7 linked regions of the Kluyveromyces lactis genome follow. The protein of the gene in region 4 interacts with the protein of the main gene of each other region in a pairwise test. Links are inferred from orthologs where the notes say so. Each region holds a gene or a part of one and is shown on either strand. Other genes may lie near its edges. The genes, in order: UTP10, NAN1, UTP4, UTP8, UTP15, MPP10 and UTP5.

The links.
Region 1: the proteins of UTP8 (region 4) and UTP10 interact in binary tests that used the Saccharomyces cerevisiae proteins (3 or more experiments, as listed by UniProt). The link is inferred for Kluyveromyces lactis from reciprocal best matches to the Saccharomyces cerevisiae genes UTP8 and UTP10.
Region 2: the proteins of UTP8 (region 4) and NAN1 interact in binary tests that used the Saccharomyces cerevisiae proteins (3 or more experiments, as listed by UniProt). The link is inferred for Kluyveromyces lactis from reciprocal best matches to the Saccharomyces cerevisiae genes UTP8 and NAN1.
Region 3: the proteins of UTP8 (region 4) and UTP4 interact in binary tests that used the Saccharomyces cerevisiae proteins (3 or more experiments, as listed by UniProt). The link is inferred for Kluyveromyces lactis from reciprocal best matches to the Saccharomyces cerevisiae genes UTP8 and UTP4.
Region 5: the proteins of UTP8 (region 4) and UTP15 interact in binary tests that used the Saccharomyces cerevisiae proteins (3 or more experiments, as listed by UniProt). The link is inferred for Kluyveromyces lactis from reciprocal best matches to the Saccharomyces cerevisiae genes UTP8 and UTP15.
Region 6: the proteins of UTP8 (region 4) and MPP10 interact in binary tests that used the Saccharomyces cerevisiae proteins (3 or more experiments, as listed by UniProt). The link is inferred for Kluyveromyces lactis from reciprocal best matches to the Saccharomyces cerevisiae genes UTP8 and MPP10.
Region 7: the proteins of UTP8 (region 4) and UTP5 interact in binary tests that used the Saccharomyces cerevisiae proteins (3 or more experiments, as listed by UniProt). The link is inferred for Kluyveromyces lactis from reciprocal best matches to the Saccharomyces cerevisiae genes UTP8 and UTP5.

Annotation. Positions count from the first base shown.
Region 1 is NC_006042.1:1,974,057-1,978,002, reverse strand, and holds the start of UTP10 (snoRNA-binding rRNA-processing protein UTP10), read right to left. Parts: upstream 2,801-3,946; coding exon 1-2,800. Other genes in the region: KLLA0_F21164g (uncharacterized protein), read left to right, coding at 3,723-3,946. UniProt on the Saccharomyces cerevisiae protein: Involved in nucleolar processing of pre-18S ribosomal RNA. Required for optimal pre-ribosomal RNA transcription by RNA polymerase I together with a subset of U3 proteins required for transcription (t-UTPs). Involved in ribosome biosynthesis.
Region 2 is NC_006040.1:574,045-578,151, reverse strand, and holds NAN1 (Nan1p), read left to right. Parts: upstream 1-1,307; coding exon 1,308-3,863; downstream 3,864-4,107. Other genes in the region: dynamin-related GTPase MGM1, read left to right, coding at 1-80; DNA-directed RNA polymerase core subunit RPB10, read right to left, coding at 606-818. UniProt on the Saccharomyces cerevisiae protein: Involved in nucleolar processing of pre-18S ribosomal RNA. Required for optimal pre-ribosomal RNA transcription by RNA polymerase I together with a subset of U3 proteins required for transcription (t-UTPs).
Region 3 is NC_006040.1:1,131,567-1,135,573, forward strand, and holds UTP4 (small subunit rRNA maturation protein UTP4), read right to left. Parts: upstream 2,712-4,007; coding exon 501-2,711; downstream 1-500. Other genes in the region: KLLA0_D13200g (uncharacterized protein), read left to right, coding at 1-418; condensin subunit YCG1, read left to right, coding at 2,951-4,007. UniProt on the Saccharomyces cerevisiae protein: Involved in nucleolar processing of pre-18S ribosomal RNA. Required for optimal pre-ribosomal RNA transcription by RNA polymerase I together with a subset of U3 proteins required for transcription (t-UTPs).
Region 4 is NC_006041.1:412,788-416,626, reverse strand, and holds UTP8 (Utp8p), read right to left. Parts: upstream 2,445-3,839; coding exon 501-2,444; downstream 1-500. Other genes in the region: KLLA0_E04687g (uncharacterized protein), read left to right, coding at 1-449; SYF2 (Syf2p), read left to right, coding at 2,685-3,350; KLLA0_E04621g (uncharacterized protein), read right to left, coding at 3,449-3,839. UniProt on the Saccharomyces cerevisiae protein: Involved in nucleolar processing of pre-18S ribosomal RNA. Also has a role in nuclear tRNA export. It acts between the steps of tRNA maturation/aminoacylation and its subsequent translocation out of the nucleus.
Region 5 is NC_006042.1:1,275,041-1,278,594, forward strand, and holds UTP15 (snoRNA-binding rRNA-processing protein UTP15), read left to right. Parts: upstream 1-1,491; coding exon 1,492-3,054; downstream 3,055-3,554. Other genes in the region: AIP1 (Aip1p), read right to left, coding at 1-932; SLD2 (Sld2p), read right to left, coding at 3,204-3,554. UniProt on the Saccharomyces cerevisiae protein: Involved in nucleolar processing of pre-18S ribosomal RNA. Required for optimal pre-ribosomal RNA transcription by RNA polymerase I together with a subset of U3 proteins required for transcription (t-UTPs).
Region 6 is NC_006040.1:821,799-825,277, reverse strand, and holds MPP10 (rRNA-processing protein MPP10), read left to right. Parts: upstream 1-1,152; coding exon 1,153-2,979; downstream 2,980-3,479. Other genes in the region: AVT1 (Avt1p), read left to right, coding at 1-760; NOC3 (Noc3p), read right to left, coding at 3,079-3,479. UniProt on the Saccharomyces cerevisiae protein: Involved in nucleolar processing of pre-18S ribosomal RNA. Required for the early cleavages at sites A0, A1 and A2 during 18S ribosomal pre-RNA processing.
Region 7 is NC_006039.1:579,073-582,744, reverse strand, and holds UTP5 (Utp5p), read right to left. Parts: upstream 2,397-3,672; coding exon 501-2,396; downstream 1-500. Other genes in the region: negative cofactor 2 transcription regulator complex subunit NCB2, read left to right, coding at 3,528-3,672. UniProt on the Saccharomyces cerevisiae protein: Involved in nucleolar processing of pre-18S ribosomal RNA. Required for optimal pre-ribosomal RNA transcription by RNA polymerase I together with a subset of U3 proteins required for transcription (t-UTPs).

The sequences.
Region 1 (3,946 bases), on a different chromosome or scaffold from region 4:
CAGCGACTAGTATATCTGCTCTAATAGAGGGTAATTTCATACTTCCGTTGTTAGATTTTAGAGAAGAAATAGTGTTCAAAAGACAAGAGGACAGAGTTTCCTGAGCGTAAAGTACAGGCAAACCACCATCATGGTCTAAAGTTTCCAAGTCGGACAAAAGGTTGAATAAGGCATTCAATAGATTTTCGTTACTCTTTACCTTCAATTTATCCAAAGTCTCCAGAATAATAGTCATTTTCTTTAGGTGGGCTTCGGCAATTTGAGAAATATCTTGTTTCTGTAGGGCGGACTTGTTAACCGTAGACGATCTTCTTCTTCTACGTTTAGTCAAATCTGTTTGATCTTCGCTGTTTATGGTATTACTTTTCAACACAGAGACAAAAATATCTGCAGTTAATGGAAGACTTTGAAGGGTTTCTAGACCATCATATGATAGTTCTTTGTCAACTGAGGAGTCTATTATACTCTGAACAATTTTTAATTGGTTTGGGAATTTCAATGTTGGATACAAAGATAAAATTCTGTCTGCCATGATATTCGAAAGTTGTTCATATTCTGATTCCAAACAGTTAATCAAAAAATCTATCGCGAAACTGTTTTTTTCTTTTGGTGCAACAATGGCACATACCGCAGTTTCGAAGTCTTTGAAATTGGTTTTATTTTTGATGCACTTCGTTTCCCAGGAACTTCTTTCCGTGATGTATGTGGCCATAAATTGTTCGAACACCTTTGAATATGTAAAAGCATATTGTGGCACAGCGGTCAAGAGCTTTAACATTATAGTCTTCGAATAGGCGAGAGGAAGATGCAGTGCCTGGTTGCACCAAAACAGCATATATACCATGTCATTTTTGGATGGAATGACGAGGGATGAAATATCTGTACTTTCAACGATGTAATCGCTTAAAAAGTTGGTCAACCAAAACTTGCTATCTTTCGGACTTAACATTGGCACCTTTAAATTCTCTCCGTAGAGTACGTTAGATAGGAAATACTTTGCTGTGAAAGGTCTCTTGGCTATCTGTTGTAGAACCTTTTTCGTGTTGGAACGAACAGATCTAGAAATATCCATCAATGCTGTCACTAGAATAGGTACCAAAGAGAAAAGATCCGTTTGCTCATCTATACCATTGATGAATTTGCTTAACTGTGTTAGTGAAATCAATCTGAGAGCAACAGGCGAACCAGGGGATACGATGATTCTGAGCACAAACGTTATCCTGCTCTCTAAAGTAGTGAAGAAGGAGGATAAAAATAGACCTGGTTGATATCCTTTACTTACAGCTTCCACAAATAATGACAACAGCTTGACAAACTTTTCATCTTTAACAAGAAGCATAGACTCCGCTTTAGTGGAGATGAACTCTGAGTTTTTGGTCATGAAATCTTTAAATGGAACAGCTGAACCATTCGCGGTTGATGCTTTAGCATCATCTAGAACTTTAATGATATCTTCACCAGATTGTTCCGCACTGTTCTTGACGGAAAATAATGAAGTTGTCAATCTTATTTCGAAAACTTCTCCGGTCAGGTTTAGTGCTTGAAGACATTTCAAAACTAGTCCCTCGTTAATGGAAATGAAGTATTCAAAAACATCGATTAATTGTGACTTGTCCTCTAGAACTTCAGATAAATGTATCAAATCAGTGATGATAAATCTAACTTCGTATTTTTCCAACTTAATCTTCCTTAAGATTTTGACAATTTGACTCAATTTATCATGATCATATCTGATGACAGACCTAATGTATGCAGTGAAAAATTTATCTGAGGAATATTTGTTTTCATTACTCAGGAACTGTAGTAGATATTCGAATGGGAAAGAATTATCAACGAGTTTATAGATCTTGACCGGTAATTGATCCACATTACCTACACCTTTCAAGGTTTGGAAAAGTTTTGAGATTGTGACGAGAGCTTTTTTTCTAGCATCGTCTTCCTTTAAATTGGCCAAGATAGTTTCCGTAGCCGCAATGATAATGCTTTTGTTCAAAGGCAATGCGGTGGCAAGTACCGCGAGCATAGTATGAGCAGCCATTTGACAATCGCTTGAATCCGATGCCAAAAGTTTTGCGGAAATTTCCAAAATCAATGGGACCAATTTATTTAACTTATCTTCATCGTTCGCATTGAAAGCGATCACGTTAATGAAACAACATGTGGTAAATAGCAGTTGATTCGTATAGGTAACTTTTTGCTTGATAATCTTGGACAGATAATTTGAATAAAGCTTCAAGAAGTCCATATCGTTAAACAATTTGATCAACGTCAAATCGGTTGGATTCTTATCGTTTCTGACAAAATTGGTAAATGGGTTGAACAAAGGTGGTAGCTTAACGATATTGAGGATCCTTTTGAACACCGGCGTTTGGTATTGGTTCAAAGTAGATAGAAGAAGCATTTCGGCGTTATGGATATGAATTTGGAACCTACGAATCAACCATTCCGTAGCATGCAAAGCTGGAGTTAGATGCCATTTCGGCGAAATCAACATCAAATACGCATTAACTGCGTTATCCAAATCTCTAATCTGATCCTTTGTTTGAACGTTTCTATCAATGGTCACGGAAGATGCACTGAATAAGGAATTAGTGAAAACTTTGAACCTCAAGTCCAAACTCACCAAAGTATGAAACGATTCCAACGCTGTATCGTATATATACTCATAGTCCTGAGTAGCAGCAGTCTTCGGATTGTAAACCAAAGACGCAGAATGTAACTTTTGTCTTCTCTTTCTATCAAGAGCAACAGTAGCGTTATTCTGCGCTACCTGCGCTAATTGATCACGTAAAGATGACATTCTATATCGTCTCTGCCGTTGCCTGGAGTACTAGCAAGTCGAACCTGATCAAAAATCTATCGCCAGGAGATGATTGCAAAGCCAACGATTTGAACCTCATCTCATCTCATCTCATCGCTACTTTTTTTTTCTTTCACTCTTTAAAATTTTCGATTTGTTCATGCTGCGGTGAAAAGAAATTCATTTATGGTCACGTGTATGAAAATGGAGTGATACCATAAACTTGGGTCAAGTCTCCCCGTAGCTCAATATGCAAGCTACTGGTCAGTTTCCACCTGCTTTCGGATCTATTGAAGTACATACAGACTTAAGAGTTGTTTCAATACATCATGTGCCGTGCAAGGTCACACTACAAGTAATGGCTAGTTTCTGAGGAATTTCGGATCTCAGCCAACCGTATAAGCATGTTTGGCATAAACAAGGCTCATAGCAGCTATCTACTTAGCAATGCCTCAACGTTTCCATTTGAGGGTGTGTGTGAGTTGTGTGCGTTGGGCCTGCGTTCAGACTGGCTTTTCAGCAAAGGACCGGCTCATATAAGAACAAAAGAAAAACACACCTGGCTGGAGCGATGTGGTTATGCGGCGATGTCTCTGCGATTAAACTTAGATCCGAGATCTAGGCGGATGGTTCGTCCGAACCAATCTCAATGCAAAGGCTTGGGTGAACTGCAAAAATGTTTTCTTCTGGTAAACAAACTACTTTTTCGGAAGTTTGAGGCTGAGCACCTTCCTTACCTTAGTTTGCATTATGTAATTTACCGCATTATAAATTTTGTACCGTTTATTTTATATATAGGCAACGACAGGTTTAAGGAACCTTCTATCAAGATTGAATAGCGATGAGCTTAGGGGTTACAACTTGCGGAGAGATTGTTTATCCAAATAACGACATCAGTTATTGAGCCATTAATAATTCAGTCATGAAGTGTAGTACTTTGTTGTTATCTTTGGCTTTAGCTTTAGATTCCGTTTCTGCACGCGAAGGGTGCGATAAGAAATTGAGAGAGTCCTCTCATAAGGAGAAAGAGTTCAACCTAACTCGTGAATACGCTGCTGAGGTTGCTAGAGGTGTTGTTAAGTATGGTGACTTGGTTCATGTTTCTACTTTGAAGGATGGAAAGACTCCGGTGACTTTCCCAGAATA
Region 2 (4,107 bases), on a different chromosome or scaffold from region 4:
TGGAACTCGCTTTGGAGAAAATAGATTCTATTCTTATGTTCAGAAAATCCTATAAGGGACTGTCGAAAAGAAACCTATAATGATCACTGTATCCTATACAACCGCTTCTGGAACACTTTATAATGACTACTATTTACGAGATCACTGTATATAAACAAAACTTAATCTTAATATGTTTCTACATGGAAATATGCCAACATCTTATGTAAGGCTTCCCGTCTTTAAATAATTAATGAACTTTTTAAAATCCCAACATACCAAATTTATAAAATCAGATGAATATGCTTTATTTAGGTGATGTGAATAGTATACAATGCAATAGTACATGAAATAGAATTGTGTGCATGCGTGCATGCGTGCTTCTTGTGCTTTCTTTATTTGTCGTTTCAGCAGCTGAACAGAAGTTACAGCAAACAGATGGTAATTGAAACTCAGTGGTTTTGTCTATTCTGGAGTCCATACGTCGAACGTAATAAAATGCAAACAAAGAACGCAAGAAAACAACGCGGTAGTAACCAGTGGCAGAAAAGTGAAGACGTAATTAAAGAGAATGGACCATTTTAGTGTAGAAGGGGGTATCGCAATTGATAGTAAAAGCAGACCACCTAATCTCTTTTTTCCAAAGGATTGTATCTCAAGAACTTTTCAATCAAATCGACATGTGTTAGAATCATTCTTCTGCAACAGTATCTCTTCAACCCCAATCTAGTCAAAGCAGTACCTTCTTCTAGTTCTTCTTCTTGCAACATATTCAAATAGGCTTCCCATTTGTCACCGACAACTTTCCCACAGGAAAAACATCTAACTGGAACAATCATCTCTCTTTAAAAGTATATCGAAACGAAAAAAAACCTAGAAACCTGGAAACCTGGAATAAACCCTCCGAGATTTATAAACTATCACAATAAGTGGATCAAAACCTGCTCGACCTTTTGAAAACTCATATAATTTGCATCACAAATCATCATATTCAACCAGCTTTCTTAATTCTTAATACTTTAATTTTTCATCGGTTCCAAATTTTTCATTAGATGCCCTTATATGTCACTTCTCACGATAGAGATGACCATCGTTTCTTTTCAAATCCTCGTCCTGCACAGGTTTCAACCATAAAATTTTCCAAAACTACAATTCTACATACGGTGAAAAAAAAGAATCCACATTAGACAAATAATTGAAAAGATGCGATGAGCTTATGAGTTATATGATGAGCTTGTCTTTTGAGAAGCAGAGAAAGAAAATACCAAGAGTAGGATCAGCCAGAGGCACCAACAAGAGTATCAGCTGTTATCGAATCCACGTTAAATATGCCAAACTCTTCGTTACCAATGTACAAGCTTTCTGTTGTTTCTGGTGGGAAGGTCGCTCTTCCTAGGATTCACAATAGATCCGCGACTAGAAAATCGGTGAGTTGTCTTACTCAGGACGGGTCAGCATACATTGTCCCTTTCAACAATCAGTTCAAAGTGTATTCAATTGATACTAGACAATGTATTAAGACATTGAAATTTGCTAATAATGATATTTTGACTTCGATACTCGATGAGCCTTCTGTAGAGGTGGTGCATATCGAGCCTATTATTGACGATGAGATGGATAAGATCAGAGTGTATACCAACACTGCGAAAGTAGTTATATTGAAGTATAAGGGTAAATTAGCCACGGAGATTAAAACTTGGTCTTTGAATATTACTGGCGAGTTATTTGCAGTTCTTGGCGATGGGAAGAAATTACTTACAGTTCAGAAAACAGGGAACTCTTACAGATATGATCTATATGAAAACGTTGAAGAGAAAGAGGAAGAATCTGAGGTTAAACACCTTGAAACTTTTGAGAATGTTTTACTTTCAACTTGGTCTAATAACAATAACTACCTTGCCCTAGTTTATTTGAACCAGGAAACTAAAAAACATGTGCTGATCAAATCTATGGTCGACAACAGTTCAGTTCAGAACTTCCCAGTACCATCTACAACATCTAGTACCACCATAAATTCCCATTTTGTCACTGCTCTTGCGTTAGATAACGACGGCCAGCAGTTGGCTATTGGATTTGCATCTGGTGTTATAAATTTGATCAATCTACCTGATCTGTCTCATAGATTATTGAAATGGCATATCGACTCAGTCCTATCCTTAGGATTTACAAATGACAACGCATATTTACTGTCTGGTGGTTGGGAGAAAGTTTTAAGTTTTTGGCAGTTGGCTACTAATATGCAACACTTTTTGCCAAGATTGAACGGTGTCGTCCTGGAATGCTTACCAGTAAGTGATAAGTACTATTCATTAGTGTTACAATTCGCTGAAAATAATACAAATTCTGACTACCAGATTACATTGCTCAATGCCACAGATCTATCATCAATACTTGCCATCAACGGCCCATTCCCGGTATTTGATACCATTACAAACGATGTTGAACAGCCAATTTCTACAGTTAACTCGAAAAGTTCTGTGTCGTCATCCAATATGCTACAATCGAAGAAAAAGCAAAAGAGAAAATTACTAAAGAGGAAAAAGCATGATTTCACCGCACCTTTGTCTGTACATCCATCTACAAAACATCTCTACTTACCACACGTTTCATCTTTGCAGTCTTACGATCTATACAAAAATGAACAGGTGAGCTACCAGTATGTTACATCCAGTGTCAACAATGCAGCAGGTAAGGTTAGACTTGAGTTAACTATCCAGGACCCTGTTGTACAGGATGTGAAATTCACCCTAGATGGTTTTTGGATGATCACATATGAAGTTGAGTACCCACCTGAGGGTTTATTGTCTTCTAAGGAGTTGTCACACGTTCTAAAATTCTGGAAATTAGATGACAACAAAGAATGGGAGTTGAAAACTAAAGTGTTGAACCCACATGGTAACAACGTCCCAGTGACAAACATAACTACAGCTCCAAATAGCATAAATTCTTCCCAGGGTTGTTTGACTGCTGATAACAATGGTGGATTAAAATACTGGAAGTTTGATTCGAAACAGAATAACTGGTGTTTGAACAGATTATTACTACCCAACTACAACCATTTTTCGAATTCGGTGCAACTAGCATGGTCCTTAGATGGCTCCTTAATCTTCCACGCTTTTGAAGATAAGCTATCTACCATTGAATTCAGCGAATTCAAACTACTGGAAGATGAAAATGAGTTACCAATCGAACGCACTTTGGATACTCCAATTCAAGCTCTTACACTTGTCAACGATTCGACATTGATAATCTCCACGAAGACTTCCTTGCATTCGTTCAATTTATTGACACAATCCACCATCAGCAGTTTCGATATCTACCCTTATGTGAACGGAGTTTACAAACCGGGCCATTTTGCCAGACTACTTGCATGCGATGCGAACACTGGAAGAATCGCACTTGCCATTAACCAACAAGCAGCAGGAACTGATGGCAATCCAACCTTACAACATAAAGCCAACATTTTAATTTTCAATTCCGATCTAACAGAAAAGTTGGGCAGCTTCGAACACAACGAATACATATCGTCGTTGGTATGGAATTACGCGGCAGATTTTATTTTCATGGATATCCAGTCTCGTCTTGGAATCGTGAGCACCACAACCAGCTCGGAAATGGTGGACGAATCGAATAATGATCAAGCATTTGAATCTCTACATCCCGATTCATTCAGCGAAAAACTACAAGAGCTTACGAGAAAGAAAGGTTTGGCAAACACAGATGCTGAGGATGGTGTAGATGAAGACATAGATCTAGAATTCATTAACGGGAACTTGTCACAAAACAAGACCATTAACATGAACAGTTTTACAAGTTTGTTTGAAAACATCGACAACGTTCAAATGAATACCTTGTTTGACCGCGTCATGAAGATTATCACATAGATGTTTTATACATTGACTCGAACATACGTATGTGTATATAATACAGAGAATATTTAAACAACCCTCCATTTAATTATTTATTCTGTCACTGACAGAAAAAATACTCGATGACAGATTAAATATGGAAAATAAAATAATCTAATAACTGTAAAATAAAACAAAAAACTAATGCGACAGAGATCAAAAAGAAGGAAATCACCTCCAAAGCAAATTAAGGCAGATGTTATGAAACATAGTTCCACCA
Region 3 (4,007 bases), on a different chromosome or scaffold from region 4:
CTTGATATTGTCCATCTCGTTGTTCGTGTGCTCTCTTTCTACTGTCACTACGACAATCTCTTATCTTTTGACATTACTGCCTGTCAAACTACAATTATTAGCGTTATCTGCAATGCAGAGTACCAATGGCTCTGAGCTTCCTACGAGCAATAAGGATGCATTCTATACCAAGAAACCCCCTTCGATCATCAAAAACCTCGCTGTGTGTGAGTTGACAGGTGTGTACATCCTTGCCACTATCTTGATGATTCGCTCCAATTTACCATATGATGTCTCAAAACAGGTCAATCAACTCTTGGGTGAGAAATTCACTATTCCTGATGTTGTAATCGACGTCTGGTCTGATAAAATGTTCGCTTGCAGTTCGCTCTTGACATTCATTGGTATTAAGGTAGCAGAAAGAACACTACACAGATGATATGCGGCGGAATGATGACCCTATGTTAAAAATCAATTTCGCGATGAAGATCGAGTTTATAATAATGTACAGAAATTATAAATTAGAATACTAACTTTTCTAATTCAAATGCAGGAGGTTGGGAGATCAAGAAGTTTGGTCTTTCCACAATGATTAATTGGTCACTTGCGATCTTTCCAGCGAATAATAGAGGTCTATACTTATCGGTATAGAAAAACGCCTTATCAGATCTCTTCTTGGAGGTGACATCTTGCGCTCTCTGAGTTTTTAAGAGATAATCTTCCTTAACTTCGAGTTCTTCATCGTCTTCATCATCCTCATCGACGTCTGCCTGTAGACCGTCAGTGGAAATAGTTAATCCGTCACGGTCACGCTTCTTTTGCTTCTTTCTTTTGCTAACTGGCAAGTCTAATGACATGTTGATGTTAACCAACCAGTTAGATCCCCAGAACCATACCTTATGCTCATCCATTTCATCTAAGAATATTCCTGTGCATCTCTCTTTCAAGGAAGTAAATTGCCTTGGGAGGTTTTCATGATTGGCTTTGAACCAGTCAGTGAGTAGTTGATCCTTCTCGGATTCCAAATTGAACTCGTATATTTTATTTTCTGATGTCACTACTACTACAGTCTCTCTTGGTGTGATGCACAGTGCAGTGATGAAGTTGTTCATGCGAATTAAAGCTTTACTACTGTTTGTTGTCAAATCTATTAAGTCTAGAGCACCGGTACCTCTAGACGCAACAGCGTAACGTTCATTTGCATCTAAATGGTTCACTGCATTCAAATATGATAGTTTATTGCTGGATTTCGTTGAGTTCGCTTCAGGTAACTCAATAGTTACGGTTTTTTCGTCGTCATCCTCTTCAAGGTCAATTCTAACTATTTCATCAGATTGTGAACACATTATTAACCTAGAATCATCAATGAACTTAGCAAATTTGCAACCAGTTCTCAACAAAAACTCATTGTCCAACTTTGTTACTTTCAATTTGTTGTCTGTTGGTTGTAAATGGAAAACTTTGGTAGTATTTAGTCTTCCCACTAATAAAACTTGTCCGTCAGTTGATAGTGCACAGGTTTGGATGTTTTGTTCATCCTTCAAAACCAATTTACTAACTAATTTGTAGTTCTTAGGCTCATTGACGTCTTCGCCAATATACCATATCTTCACGATATTATCCTGCCACATCACCAATAGTCTTTGTTGTTTGTTGACCAGGATGCTCTTATGGAATGGGGTAACTAGTGGCATCTTTCTATAATTTCCTTCAGCGAAAGAGGACATTGAGCACATGACAAGAGACTTTTCAATACCACCAGACACTAGGAAGTCGGATCCCATACATTGATAAGAGGACATAGATCTAACATCATTGGAATGGAATAATCTGTTTGAAGTACTGATCCATTTCATGCTCTTTCCTGTATCGATGTAAGAGAATTGGAAAATCTTTCTATCAACACCACTAGTGAACAATTGTGAATTATCCAGATCAGTAGCCAGACATAGAACATCGGCATCATGAACCTTGAAAGATTGAGTCAATGTTGCGTAGTTTAAGTCCCAGAATTTGACCGACCCAGTAGAATCACCAGACACAATTTGGTTCTGTTTAGCTAGATACAACACAGACCATACGAGTGTAGATTCTTTCTTCGATTTATCCACTTTCATAGTATGTAATAGTCTTCCCTTGTTTTCGTCTTGCTCCTTAGTATACCATATTCTAATCCTTCCATCAGAACAACCAGCGACCAAAGATTCATCATTGGCTGTCCATGTCAACGATAAGACACGAGATTCTTGCCTTGTAAGTATGCTCTCATGCTCAAGAACACCTTTACCACCACTGATGTTAATAAGTACTACACTGCCGTTATCACATCCGACCGCTAGCTTATTCATATCGTTGCTCATTGCAATGGACCAAATCACACCAGAGTTACAATCGTAATTTACTAACGGCAACCCGGTTGTCAAATCCCATTCTGTAACTACAGTGGAGCCACCGATCGAAAATAGTCTCAAAGGCTCTCCACGAATACTGCACCAGGAAAGACCTTCAATGGATCTTCCTTCACCTCCCAAGATCACGAACTCTTGTACCCAATCATCTCTTGGATTCCAGATCTCAATATTACCATTGGATCTACCAATAGCCAGTCTTAGCTCTTGCGGTGCCGCTTTATCAGTACTTTTGTGTGAAAATGCAAGAGCCGTTATATTACCAGGTGTAAACTGCACAAACCTGGATCGATGCACTACCTGTTTCTTCCCAGTATCAGTCATGATCAAATGTGTTCTATAAATTGAGGACCTTAAACCTGTATCAGAGAACAAAAGCTAATGTATTAGAATGAAACAAAAGATTGACAAACTGTAGGCTGATGTCAATCAAAAAACTTCACTGACTAGATAGAAATATACGACTTTGTTATCCGATGAGATGAGCTTCTGTTCTAAGCTTGTGTGCTCTTAACGCTGAAATTTTTCAAAAAGAAACTAGTTTAGCTTCAACACCGTACAGTATGATCATATCACGTGATATATTAGATCTATTGGGAAAACGAGATTTGTTTACAATTGGATCTTCTCTTCACATAAACAAACTAATAAACAAAGAGGAAAAGGAAAGTGGAAGAAACATCGGCGGCAACCTCATAGCAGCCTTTCCCTGGTGTATACTCGTGGTATTATTGACCAAAAGGGTGCAATTGTTTGATATGGATGTTCAGGATGGAGAATCTCCTACAAATCGTCGTGTTCTGAATTCTATAGCGGAGGTTTTCCAGGTGGCGCAGAAGAGTTATGCTGGTCACAGACGTCATGTAGCTGTCTTATACAGGATTTATTTGAAATGTGTGGAGCAAGAGATATCAGATGTGTTTCATTATTGGTTTATCAAAATGACTGTCAAAATCTTGCCGCTGAAGAAACAGGAAATCGTGGGGGATCGCATTGTTCGGTTGATTTCAGGGTTCATCGCAAATATAGAGTCGAATCTTAACAAGATGAGAACCGAAGATGGTAATGAGCAAAATGTGAGGAATTTGGAAGTACATTTCGGAGGATTTATTGATGGATTTGTGAGGAATCTGCTTCGAGGAGTGGAATCGAAAAATAAAAACGTACGATACAGAGTAATGCAACTTTTGGCCGCAACTATGGATAATATGGGAGAAATTGATGAGGAATTGTACGAGTTGATTATGTGGGTTTTGAAGCATAGGGTGTATGACAAGGAACCTCATGTTAGGATACAGGCGATATTTTGTTTGACAAAATTTCAAAACGATAACGTATCGATGATTAATGAATCAGAAACCGGAGTAAATTTCCAACTCGATGAAGCTACACAGAGTTTAATGCATATCATTAGGAATGATCCAAGTCCAGAAGTTCGGAGGGCAGCAATGTTGAATATTGTACGTTCGAAAGCGACCCAGAATGTTATCTTGGAACGGGTACGAGATGTTAATTTCATCAATAGAAGATTGGTGTTTACAAGAGTACTAAAGAGTTTGGGGAAGCATACGTTCGATGAGGTGGATTCTGATATTTTAGAGAAACTGATGACCTGGGGGT
Region 4 (3,839 bases):
AGATGGAGCATATGGTGATATCCAACGACATTTTCCACTGTGCTGTAGGTGAACACACAAGTAGATGGAATAAGACGGAATATGGGTACGTTTTACTTGATGCGTTGGCGAAAAATACTACGGGCATTGCCAAGGAAGAACTATTGCAGAAATGTTTTGAACTTTTATCAAACCATACGTTTAATGAGGGCGAAGATGTGGATTCTGTGACGACTTCCAGTATTTATGTACCGCCTTTAAGAATTACTAAAGGTGCAGACGCTATTGGAACTTCATTGCCAATAGGCGATTACTATGGAACTAGATCCCAGATTGTCATACTTGTCGACAAAGATAACAGAGTTACGTACGAGGAGCATGTGATTTATGAAAGTGATGAGGATTGTGAAACATACTCTTTCATGGATCCAAAAGAGGTAATTCAGTTCCAGTTCAATATGGAAAGCTGATGAAATCATTTTACGAAAAGTTCTAATGTTTATGATTATACTACACACTTATTAGCATTCTAAATAGTCCACTGTGTAAGCTGAAATAGGTTGTGTAGAAGACGAATTTGTTGATGAATTAGATTTATTGTTAACAACCGATGAATGCTTGGTGTAATGCTCTGCCAAATGCAAAAGTTCTATGTTTTGTGACACTACAGAAACCTGCGCATCGACAAAAGAGGAAAGTTTCTCTAAATATTCATCGTCTAACGCAAACAAACCGATGGAATCTATTATTAAACTCATAAGTTGGAAGATTTGTGGCTTATTAAGTTTCAAGTCCGAATCTGCCTTATTCGAGTTCAAAATCATATCCAAAAAGTTTGTGATATCCATCTTCTCAATTTTTCTTATACCTGCTTTGATTGATTCTTTCTTGTAATCTTGTAGCACTCTTAGCGTAATATCAAAACAGAGCTCTGCATTCGTTATATTGAAAAGCTCGGTTAACAAATCGTCAAGTGGAACATTCGGACAAGTAACAATAGCTTGTTTGAAAAGTCTTGGGTTATTTTTCAACTTGGTTAATAAGCCCTTAGCGTGAACCGGTGGGAATAAAGGGTGTGTTAGAAGGTATGTCAATGCTTTTGGATATTCATCCTTGAAATTTAGAAACAAGCAATCGATTATTTGAGTGAGTAAATCAGAATCATTTAAAAATCTGTCATTGTCTGTATAATATTCCTTGTCTAAGGAAAGCATCTTAAAAAATATAGAATCAAAGTTCTCTATTTTTTTACAGATATGGAGTTGTTTTATAATGCGTTCATAGTCTGGAGATGGCAATTCCACATCGTCGTCCTCATTGCTTTCTTCAAAGAGTTTCTGTAGTTTCTGCTTTTGTTTAACCATGAACCCTTTACCCATCGCATCTTTTAAGGTACCGGTACCAACATCAATGTTAATAACATCCAAGTAACTCGTAGGGTTAGCACCGTTTTTAGTTGTAACATCTAATGCTATAGTTTTTCTATTGTCTTCAGAGTTTTCTTGAACAACTGCAGTAGAGAGTAGTTGAATAGCTTTGATGTTCTGTAAATCCTTTTGGAATAGTATAGCATTGTATAACAAATCCACAAGATATATGGTATTATCAGCAGTCAACAATACACGGTTTGAAGAAACTGGTTTGATGGATACAACTGCATCCTTGGAAATGAAAGGTAGCTGAATGCTAGTTTGTAGTTGCAAATGTGGTAACTGATAGATTGATAATTCATTTGAGTTCTTTAAAACATATAATTTCCCGAACTCAAAACACAACTTTGCATTCTCTAAAGTGTAATTTTCTAGTATGATAGAATTTAGTTCAATACATGAGACGGACTCACTCCTAACTTGGAAAAGTTTGTAACAGATTTTCTCATCACTTAGTTGGCATAACACGAAAAAGAAATCGTTTCCCTGCCCATCTTGGAAGAATTGAACAAATCTGATATCATCATAAGATATATCAATAGTATTTGAAAGTTTCAATTCATAATCAAATGTTTGAATCAGTCCATTCCTTAAGATAACGAGAACTTTCTCTGCTTTAGAATAGATCTTAATGCTAACGACTTCAGATTTTAGTTTATATTTGAACTGAGATGTGATTTCAGCATTTGAAGATGACACGGCATCTTGAATCATCGGCTTAGTAGCCAAGTGTAAATGTGATACCTTTCTAGCTTCCAATCCGTAACACCAGACTTCTGTATTGGCTGCATCTTCTACCACGTCACATGCAGTAACAATGTTCGTAGAGGGGATTGGCAAGTTAAAAACCAGCTTCGGGGTTGGATTAATCAAGTATTGTGATATACTGGAACCTGATATACCAATATTCACTTTATTGGCTGATGGTGAAAGATTATCAACAACTTGTAAGTAGTCTGTTTGATTCGCATAATTATTCAATGATGGAATCTTAGGTAGAGCAGAGAGCCTAAAAGGCTGTGAGATGGATGCCATTTTCTCAATATCTTTCGATAAATAATATCAAAGCAAACTGTATTGAACACAGGATATTTGATACTTCACCTCGTCCTTTCAAGAGCAGCGGTTGAGTGTATCTTTGCACTTACAGCTCATCGCATCTCATCGCATCTCATCTCTTCTTCTGAGTACTTCAAATTTTTCAAACTTTACTTTTGGGAGTCAGTCCGGGTAATATATAGTGTCGAAATGCAAACAGAAACAAGATGAGATGCGATGAATATACTCAGATATCTTCCAGGTGACAGAAAGTGTAGCCCTTATTTGAATGCCACAAATCACATTGTAAACTGGACACAGGCTGATAATAAATATTCGAAGATGAATGATCTAATGGAAATTGAAAAAAAGTTGAAGAGTTTGCGGAAACAAAAAGTGGAAGTAAGTATAAGGAATAAGAAGGCCATAATAGCTGAAGAGAAGAAAAACTCTGAAAGAAGAGTATACAGTATGGCTGACGATGGCGAAGATAAAGCTAGAAGTAACAAAAGCGAACCAGAAGATCCGATAAAATTGGCAAACTACTCAATACGCGAATATGAAAAATGGGAAGCTAAGACACAGAATTCAAGACATAATAAAAGCGTGATGGGGGACTTCCAAACTATAGCAAAGAACAGCTACAAGAAGGAAGTAGATGCGCTTCCGAAGGATATATCACATCCGTTGAAAGGTGGAATAACTGAGGATGGGAAGGTTCAAGTAGAAGATAATCCTGAACTAGTAGAAAAAATGGTGAATGATTTGAACGAACGATCAAAGAAAAGGTATATGGTACGGAAACAAAAACTAGATAAACAAAATAAGATCAATTTGGATGATGGATTTATTAATGACAAGAATAAACGGTTTAATGCAAAATTGAATAGCGAGTTCAAATAGGCATGGGAAAATAGGTATATTGGGCATTTACATATGAGATATTTACGATTGATTATGAATAATTATTTTATTTTAACGATATATAGAGGTGGATTTCTTCATTTGTCTTCAGAATCTAGTGAGTTAAGGACTTCTAGATCTTCTTCTAAGCTCTTGACACATTGCTTGTAATGGATCAATTGGAAATTATGGAACAACTTAACCAAAGAAATGATCTCAGAACTATCTGTAAGTTCTCCCAAGAATTCCACAGTTTCTGAGGTTGCAGACACGAACTGATCTTCTAATCGTTCGAAAAGCTTAGAATCAGGATCTTCTTCTGTCTTTGCCATATCAACTGGTTCCTCATTGGTTTTCTTTTCGGGGGTTTCAGGGGTTTCAGTTGCGACCTTTTTTTCAGCTTCCTCAGAGGATGCTACAACCTCTTTTTCCTGCAGCTTCAATTTAATTTCATGACGTAAAGTATCAAAGTTCAATCTTGCATCTTGA
Region 5 (3,554 bases), on a different chromosome or scaffold from region 4:
ATGGAGTTATCCTTAGTGACAACAACACCGACAATTTGATTCGAAACATCTGCACCTAATTTCCAAGACTGTTGGAATGGATCATCCAACGACACATCCCACAACCTTGCAGTGCAATCAGCACCCACGGTAACAACTCTAGAAGACTCTTCACCATCGTCTAACCATGCGACAGCAAACAAACCACCGCCAATTGGAGCCTTTTCAGACTCAATGTATTTGATAAATTCACCAGTCTTACCATCAAAGCAACATATCTTACGATCGCTACCGACAGACACAGCATATTTCCCTGCACCTGGAGAGAACTTGACGTCTCTAACGAATTTACCTTGGCCGTGATGCGTTCTATCACTGCTTGCAAACTTGAAAGGTGGACCCTGGTAAAACACAACAGAACCATCATCACTGACACTGAAAGCTCTCATTGGTCTGCTTTGCTTGAAATGAACTGCATTGACTCTTTGAGAGTGACCCGAGACTTCACCTAACGAGTTGCCCGAGTCCCAAGAGACAAACGCACCAAACCTATCACGACCTTCACCAACAACAGCCAATCTTTTACCCTCAAAATCCCAGGATATATCAGCGACAGGACCAGCGAGCACATGTAGTTCCGACTTAACGTTGTACTCAATTTCTCCAGACTTATCGTCCTGATTCCAAGACCAAACGATAACTCTACCGGAATCATCTCCTGAAGCAACATATTGAGACCCCTGGATAGGAGAAAATTTTACAACAGTGACATTACTGGTACCATGGCCATTGAATTGAACGACATGTTCACCATCTAAAGATCTAATGATGGCAGATCTACCGCTACCATAAGCTAAACTGTCAGTCTTTGGATCATATGATAAATGTGTCGTAAAGTTTCTCTTTGTAGAAGGGAGAGGTGCAAAAACCTTTGCTAAATTAATCGAAACCATATTATCGCGAGATACTAGATCAATTGACTTTTGGAACACTCTGTAAACGCACCAGAAAGACCTCTTCCTGACTCAAACGTGTCCTGTTCTCATGGTTTAGTTTCTTGATAAACTGGTGAGTATAAATAAATTCCATACATATGGAATGTAAATAGACGAAATAATAACTACTGGGATGCAGAAATACAAAGAAAAGATATCCTAAATACCAGTTAGTATAATGAAAGTGGTATTGCTGAATACCTGGGAATCAAGAAAATCTGGGAAACCAGGTTAAAAGCAGATAAAGGGCCTTAAAGGCCCTTTATCTGCTTGTAAAGTACAGTGAACGGTTATTCTTCTCTGAAAAATCACAATCAACGAGATTCTTCGAGTCTTCAAAGAAAAGAAACCAGATTTTGGAAAAAAAAAATGATTGAAGCCTTAGCTCATCGCATGGTTGATAAAATAGATTTCCCTGTAATTTGCGAGTTATATCAGTCGGTTTGGTATCGTCAGACTACTGTTAAGTGATAGAGGTGATTCAGGCGATCAGATTGGTAGAAATATTGTGAAGAAAATGTCGTCTGTGAGACCTAGAGTGACGCCGGTAAAGGCTCCTGTGTTACCAAAGCAGACCACCCCAGAGCAGAGGTACTGGAGGTCTTATTCATCTACTCAGCTTGTTAAAGAGCACAATGCAGTGACTCATATTGCCTTCAATCCCCAGCATCCACATGATTTTGCAGTTACCTCTTCTACTAGGGTACAGGTCTTCTCGTCAAGGACAAGACAAGTGATCAAGACGTTTTCTAGGTTTAAAGATGTGGTGCATTCGGCCACTTTCCGTCAAGACGGTAAACTTTTAGTAGCAGGTGACGCTACTGGGTTAGTGTCCGTTTATGATAGTTATAATCCACGTACTTTGTTGCTTTCTATACAAGCTTCGTCGCATCCTACGCATGTGACGAAGTTTCACGATCAGGATAACAAGACTTTGGTGACGGCAAACGACGATAGAGTAGTGAGACTATGGGATGTTTCTCATGCTTATGAACCCACTTTACAGTTAACTGGAGCATCTGATTATGTTAGATCAGTCTGCTTTGTGCCAAATGCTCCACATATGGTCGCTACAGGGTCGTACGATGGAGTAGTTAGATTGTACGATATTAGAACGAAATCAGATAAACCACAGACAACTTTGGATCACGGTCTTCCTGTGGAAGATATCACAGCCATATCTCCTACTCAGCTTGCATCGTGTGGTGGTAACGGGTTCAAAGTATGGGACTTGACTAGCGATAGAGCCCTTTGTGAACGTCAAAATTTCGCAAAGACGGTCACCTGTTTGAATTACACAAATATGGGAGAAGAATCACCAATGAGTTCCGTACTAGTTGCATCCTCGCTTGATGGTCATGTTAAGATCTTTTCCCCGTTGGAGAACTTCCAATTCAAGTTTGGCTGGAAGTTTAGCAACGCTGTGCTAAGTTGTGCAGTCTCACCAGGCGATGCGCAAGGTAATAAACATTTCGTTGCAGGTTTATCCTCAGGAATTCTAGCCATCAAGACGAAGAAGAAGTCCAAAAAGATTAACCTCGCTGATGTCTCTGATTTGGAGGATTTACCATTACAACAGCAAGAGAAGTCTGCGAAATCCAACAATTTCCAGAGAATGATGAGAGGGTCCGAATACAGAGGTGATCAAGAGCATATTATACACAACGATAAGCCAAATCCTCAGCGTAAGTTGCGTCAATTCGAAAGGCATATCAACCAATTCAAATGGTCTGACGCATTAGATTCTGCATTTATCCCCGGTATGGCTAAAGAATTAACTTTAACGGTATTACAAGAACTAAGGAAAAGAGGTAAAATCAAGGTTGCATTATACGGTAGAGACGAAAGTTCTCTAGAACCACTACTCAACTGGTGCTTGAAGGGAATAGAAGATGTTAGAAGTGCACCAATTGTTGCAGACTGGATTGCGGTTGTAATTGAACTCTACGGTAGTGTACTGGAGAAGTCCCCAGTACTTGAAGAGATGGTAATCACTCTAAAGAAAAGAGTAAGGGAAGAGATCCGCAAAGCAAAAGAAGCACAAAAGATAGAGGGTATGCTCCAATTGTTAACAAACTGATAAAATCCTTTCTACACTGATCTATAACAAAAAGGAATGCGTGTAAAAGATTATATTTATTTACATTTATAGTACATAGACTGCAACAACTGTATCATCCCGTTCGTTACGTCTGTTTCTTTGTTTTTAACGTTCTGACTTTGAAGAAATCACCTTCTTCCTCTCCATTTACTGGCTCTGTTTCTTCCTGCCTTTGTTGGAAGATTCAAACGCTTGAAGTTGTTGCTAACAAGGTTGTATTTACTCTTACGTTGCTTCTTCTTTACGGGTGGATTGGATTGTTGTTCAGAGTCAGACTCACTTTCTTCCACTTCTTTACCCAGCATTTTATTGTACTCACGTTCCTTCAACTTTGCTAGCTGTTCATGAACATTTTTGTCTGGAATGTTGGTCGACTTCTCGTTTAATGCTGCTGGTCTCATCTTCGCTTTTGTTCTTTTCTTTATGGTTTTAACTTTCCGCACATAATTGCTCTCAGTTTCATTGCCGACAGTTCCCTC
Region 6 (3,479 bases), on a different chromosome or scaffold from region 4:
TATCTCGACTATTGGAACTGCATTGTTAGTAGTTTTCTGTGGGTTGCTAAAACAATATTCACCAGGGTCATTATTGCAACCAGAAGCCACATCGATGTGGCCCAATTCATTCAAGGAGTTTTGTCTTTCCTTAGGGTTATTGAGTGCATGCTGGGGAGGTCACGCAGTCTTTCCCAACTTAAAGAGTGATATGAGGCATCCGGAGAAGTTTACTCGTTGTTTGAAGACCACTTATAGCATCACCATTGTTACTGATATCGGAATTGCTGTCGTTGGATTTTTAATGTTCGGTAATCTTGTTATGAATGAAGTGACAAGAAGTGTGTTATTGACTCCAGGATACCCGCCTTTTGTTTATGGCCTAATTTCAACTCTTCTTTCACTGATTCCACTTGCCAAAACACCACTTAATGCAAGACCGATTGTCTCCATCTTTGATTCAATGTTTAACGTAGTGCACATCGATGAAACTAAACCAGCATCGAAGGTTTTTTTCGCAAAGGCAACCAGAATATTTAACAGAATCATGGTGAATGTTATGTTCGTGATTATTGCTATTTTATTCCCTGAATTTGACAAAATAATTGCATTCTTGGGTGCTGCACTTTGTTTCATGATTTGTTTCATTCTGCCATGTTTGTTCTACAAAAGAATTTGCTACAAAACCATTAAATCTTGGGAATTGATAGCGTGTAATATTACGATATTAATTAGTGCAGTATTATCCACTCTTGGAGTATACGCCTCCTTCACCTCATGAATTACCTACAAATGCTGTTGAATTTGCCAGCACCTCATTCTTGTATATGCATCTACGTGTCTTTATGCAAAATTTTAGCACCCAAACTAAGGGAATCACACTTCATATAATGACTTTTCACCCATATGTACTTCTGTCTAGTATTCATCACCCAACCAATGCCTCACAACTGTGTCTATTATCTCTCTTCTTACCCGCATTGGCGACAGTTCCCATCATTTTTTTCTTTTTCAAATTTTTGGATACCTGAAAAATTGATGAAAACTCATCTCATCGCATCACTCAGCATGTACGAAATATGCGTCTATAGTAGCAGCTTGATCGTATCGATACATCCACTACAGCTACACCAGTAAATAGGTAACGTTTCACTGACCCACACATAACACAACATGAGTCAGTTTTTGGAAATTTTGAAAACTAATCCTGTTGGACTTCTTTCCCAGGATGCTCTGGAGTCCAAGGAACCACTATCGGCAGTGAAGACTTACTTTGACGAAGTCATCAATCTGAATAAAAACAATGGAAATTCAAAGACAACATTAGATGAGATAGTGGTTGATGGGCTAGATGCTAACCAGGTATGGTGGCAGTCAAAAATCATTTTAGATAATGTTCAAGGTGATATCATGGAAAAAATCGCCGAACTGAAGGTTGATAATGAGAATGATATGAGCGAGGAAAGCAGCGGAGACGAAGATGATGCCTCTAATGTTGAAAATTCCAATGAAATGTCTGCAGACGAAGCTCCAGTTTCTGAAGAGTCTGCTATTGAAGAGGAGGAGGAAGAAGCAGAAAATGAAGAGCTCGTTTTAGATGAAGAACAACAGTTCTCAGAACCAGAACCTTTAGAATTACATGAGAAGGAAGAAGATAAATTGGAAAACGAAAGTGATTCGGAACCTGATGATCAATTTGTAGAAGCACAAGAAAGTCCACAAGCGATCGAAGACAAGTTTGGTGTAAACGATCAATTTTTCAATCTAGATGAATTCAATAGACAAACACTTGAGGCTGAGAATAGAAGCCAAGATGCAGATGAAGAAGATGAGGATGACGAAGAAGTTGATTATTTCGCAGATGTTCCATCGGAGGAAGATGAAGAAGCTCTATATTACGACGATTTCTTTGATAAGCCATCTAATAAAAAATCTTCCCAGGACAGGCGGCCAGGACCTTCAAAGAAAGCAGAGGCCGAAGAGGATGAATCCTTTGACGAAAGCGAGTATGATGATGCAATGGAGGAAGCTAAGTTAGATCTTTTTGCTGACGAAGACGATGATTTTCAGGGATCAGATGAAGAAACTGCTGAACAACCATTATCTACCTTTGAACGTCAACAACTTGAGCTAAAAAGACAAATAGAATCCCTCGAAAAGGAAGCTGTTGCTGAGAAGAAATGGGCGTTAAAAGGTGAAGTAAAAGCTCGCGATAGGCCAGAAGATGCCTTGTTAACGGAAGATCTTGAGTTCGAAAGAACTGCCAAACCTGTGCCAGTTATAACAGCTGAGGTAACAGAAACTCTCGAGAATATGATCCGTAGAAGGATCAAGGAAGAAGATTTTAACGATCTACAGAGGAGGGTTATCAGCGATATTTCAGGCTACAATAATAAACCAAGATTCGAACTAAGTGATGTAAAGTCATCAAAATCACTAGCTGAAATTTATGAAGATGATTTCAAAGGTGTTACCGAGGATACTGAAATATCAGAAGAATTACAGAAAAGTCACGATGAAATTTCAGAGCTATATAAAGATTTGGTTTACAAACTAGATGCATTATCGTCAGCCCACTTCATACCTAAGCCGATAAAGAAAGATCTTGAAGTAAGAGTGCAAACCGCCGCTATTTCTATGGAAGATGCACAACCACTAACAATGTCAAGTGGTTCCACATTAGCTCCTCAGGAAATCTACAAAGTTGGTAAATCAGAGAACTCTAATGAAATAACTTTGAAGAATGGTGTGGTGATGTCCAGAGATGAACTGTCCAGAGAGGATAAAAACAGACTCCGTAGAGCTGCTAAGAGAAAGAGATCGAAGCTATCTGCGAAAAGAGCCGAACAACCTAGAAAGAAGAGTAAGACGGATGATGTTCTTAATACCTTGACTAAATCCAAGAACATAACCGTTATCGATAAAAAGGGTGCCAAAACTGATGTTAAGGGTAATATAAAGAAGGATAATGCATCTGGTAACATCAATTTCAAGTTATAGACACTGTTACAGTAAGTATATATTACTATAATTAATGCAATTGCATTGAAATGAAGGTGGTAAATAAGAGAATTCTTAATTATCTTTTTATCCCCCAAACTATTTATGTTCTTGAGATTTATGGAATAATGATCTTACACCTTTTACAACAGAAGGACTGTAATGCTTGACAAGAAGGCTATTTTCCCATATAGTTGCTGCTTCTGCATTACTTCTACTTGGTAAGTCTGTGTCGATGCGGAACTCCCCATTTCCAATTCTATCGTCTGTAGAGTATAAACCCAGTACTTCTGGATATTTGGTAGTTAGTTTATCCAAAAACTTCAGCAGTGCAATTGATGTTTTTTCTGGAGTGTGCAGCAAAGCCATGTAAATTCTCTTTGTGAACGCAGCAGCTCTTTGTTTAGTGCCAGATTTTGATCTGAAAAAGACATGATCAAGGGCTTTCAACAATAACTCTGCTTTTGTTGATACGTTAACTGATGGTTTGACGAGTTCAT
Region 7 (3,672 bases), on a different chromosome or scaffold from region 4:
AAAGAATACACGACACATTTATACTTTATCTGTCAAAGATATAAAAAAAAACAAAACGAAACGATAGATACTGATCCCATGGACAAGATCAACTCCCGTACCGCGAGACGAACCTACGTGCTTGCAACCAGTAGAGAAATTCTAAAATTGTTTACGAGAACGGGATTTCCGAGCCGGATAGACCGTCTACCAAAAATGCACGTTCTAAACCAACACAGAACACCTCATTAAACGCTTCTACATTTTCCATGTTCCACGCTTTAAATTTTTAACTTGTTTGGTTCTGGATTAAATTGAATTCTGAGAGCATCACTAGCAAACAATTGTTTTTTTTAATTAGATTATTTACAGACAGAGTCAAACTCCGATGTTTCCATTACCCGGCCATAATGATCAATCAAGCTTAAAGCTGCATGGAGGAAGAATGTCAGGTCTAAGTCGATACATAGCAGCTGCATTTTTCAATGCGTTAGCGTTTTATATTTTTTCTTTTATGTACGCTAATGCTGAACTTCTTCGTCAGAGTATCCTTCTTCAACGTCGACCCTCATTTCGTCATCGTCGTCAAATCCTTCTTCAGTGTATGTAAGTTCCTGATTATCAGCCTCGCTGTGTTCGTCATCATCTTCAGAGTACTCTGCACTGTCTTCACCATCGTCTATTAATCCAGCATCGTCTAGCTCTTCTATATATTCCACTTCTTCCTCTTCATCTTCATTTTGGTTCGACTCGTCATCCTGATATGGAGCGACAAGTTCAGAATCAAGTTGATCCTTGCCGTATTGTACGGCTCTCTTACTGTTCAATTCATCTAATGAACGTGTAATACGTGTATCCAATGCCATGAGTGTTGGTAAGAGATCTGCTCGTTTCCTCAAAGTAGCATGTAGCGATGACAATGAATTTATCAAATTTGGAATGGTAACTAAGTAACCCCCGTGAATTATTAGGCACCATTTCACCCACACGTTCAAAGCACCTTGTCTATGAGTTTGTCTGGCGATACGTTCAGCGAGTCTTTCCAAGAGAATCGTAGCAAGTTGGGGGGATAACCTGGTTATGGTTGCTTGAATGACTTTTTCGTCGCGTGTGTTAAGGACTGTTTCCAATAGAGCATGATCATTTGATTTTAATGCTTGAGCTAATACAACAGAAGAAGTACCAGCGTTGGCTCTTCTCCTTTCCTTTGGTTTTCTCGATGGTGGTGAAATTATATTTAGTCTATCCTGTAAAGTTTCTGAAATCCCTTCTCCTTCTATATCATCTAAACTTTGGACAATGGATTCCACATGCTTAAAGTTATCACCAGATGTTACCGTTGCATTACCCTCTTTGTAGAGCTTTGCCGAAGAAATATCACTGTTTTGGTTGTTCCTGGTTTGTGTAGATTTAGCAGATGGCAATGGCTTGGATAAAGTGGTGACTGAATCCGTTAGGTTACCTAATTGAACTTGATCAAAGTAAGGTGTGGTTGCATTTTCTAACCACGAAAAATTAATTAGATCTTTGTTGATAAAACTTTTGATAATAGGCAATCTGGTTGCGGAATTAGACCTTAATAAAGTTATAGTTTTGTTTTTTTGTTTGGATATCTTACCAGAACGTCTCTTATTCCCTGAATTGATTGATACCAAAGGTTCTTCAAAGATAGCAATATCCCCATCTTCTGTTGTTGCCGACACGTGAGACCAATCCTCAGATATCGAAATTGATATAACGTTCGAGTCCGCTACTAGGACGGACTTAGTCTTGGTAGTGTCCAAATCATAAATATTCAAAAATCTATCGTCCTGAGATGCACTCAAAAATGCTGTTCCATCTGTGGTCACTTGAAGGAAAGACACAGGTGAAATATGGCCAGGGTATTGTAACAACAATTTCTTTGAAATGACATCGATTAAGTAAATTTGATGAGAAGCGACAAGAATACGATTGCTATCAACTATGCATAGCTTTTTTAAGTCCTTACATTCATCAATTTTGAATTTTTTTGATACATTCTGTGATACCATGTCGAATAAAAAAATAGTATCATCACCAGTCAAACACCAGGCCTTGTCCTTGCTTGAAAAGAGTTGGAAATCTAAAACTGCTAAGCTTGATCCTGTGTTCAGTTTCGCCACTATTTCATTCGATAAAGGAGAGTATAGCCATATTTCCCCTAGGTTTAGACCCAGAACTACCAATGGTGTGTCATTGTAAGTAATCCATTGTATGCATGTACAGCAGACGTCTTTCCCCTCCAAATAGAGAAAATTATCGTTCACTAAACCAGATTTGGAGGCAGTTGTTGGCTCCACTGATACCCGCTGTTTATCCAAAGCGGTGGAAACGTATGCAAAATATTGTCCGGTTGGATCATATTGTGATAATACGACTGGCGAAGCTGTTGCCATCGTTAAGCTTGCTATTGTTATTCGTGTGGTAGAGTGTAGACCTCTAGCTTAAACAGTACGAAAGCCGGTGATTGTTCAATTAATATCCCAAGACGTTTTATCGAAACACTTTAGGAAAGAAGTAAGTACACAAAAGTAAATACTGTGCGATGAGCTCAGATGAGATGCGATGAGATGAGCTATGAAAAGTTTCAAATGAAAAGCTTTAGCTTGGAAAGGAGAAAGAAAAGTGAGATTTACTTACAAAAAACAAGTGCCGGGTAATAAGAAGTTAGCATATATTGTTCACGTGATTTGGAGCATATAGCCAGTGGTCCCCAATTTAAGGCTTTTCTTCAGGATACATCCACTGAGCTGAGTTCGTTAACTCAGCTTTTGCAATCTTATTTTACAACCTCCAAACATTGCCTTCCTGCTTTCAAGTTATACACTTCATATCTCCTAACAAACACTAGTTAGCATTTCTACTGTGATGAGAGGAAGCTGGGTGATTAACACAACATAAAGAATTTACGTCAAGTAAGGAAAGAGCTCCTGCCTAACAACCAAGGTCAACACTTATATGTCTCTGTCCTGTTGCTAATTTGAATATACATCTATATATATATATTTTCCAATCAGAATTCCCTTATTGTCCCTTGTTTGCATAGGTGATGCGATGTGTGCGATGTGTGTTGTTGTTTTAATTTTTTTTTTTTTATTTTCAACTTTTCTTCTTAGTTTGATTCGTAGTTTTATATATAAAGCATCAAAAAATGTGCCAATTTGGCGAGCCATATCATTTTTTTGCATAGTGAATGAAATAGCGATGAGTATTTTTTTAGTATATATTATTATACATAATTCAGATCTAGAGTTCAAGGAGGACAAAAAAGTGTAATACCAGGCATTTAAAAACAAAAGTTGACATTGTTAAATTTGTTTACAATCTGTTATCATCTCAAGTTCATCCAATTATCTAATTGATTACTACGTGAAGTGCTTGTTTGGTATATTGACTTGCAGCACAGAATTAAGTTCGAGAGTATTATAGTTTTTTCAGGGAAGCTTGCAAAACCAAAAAATAATAATCACAAGCTTTATCTTAGAAAATAAAGACCGTTAGAATTTCAACCATAAGCAATTGAAAACATGGTTGGAGAGGTTGACGACGTTACATTACCGAAGGCTACCGTTCAAAAAATCATATCTGAAGTACTTGATTCCGATCTAACATTCAGTAAGGAGGCTCGTGAAATAATCATCGAATGTGGGGTAGAGTTCATCATGATGCTAG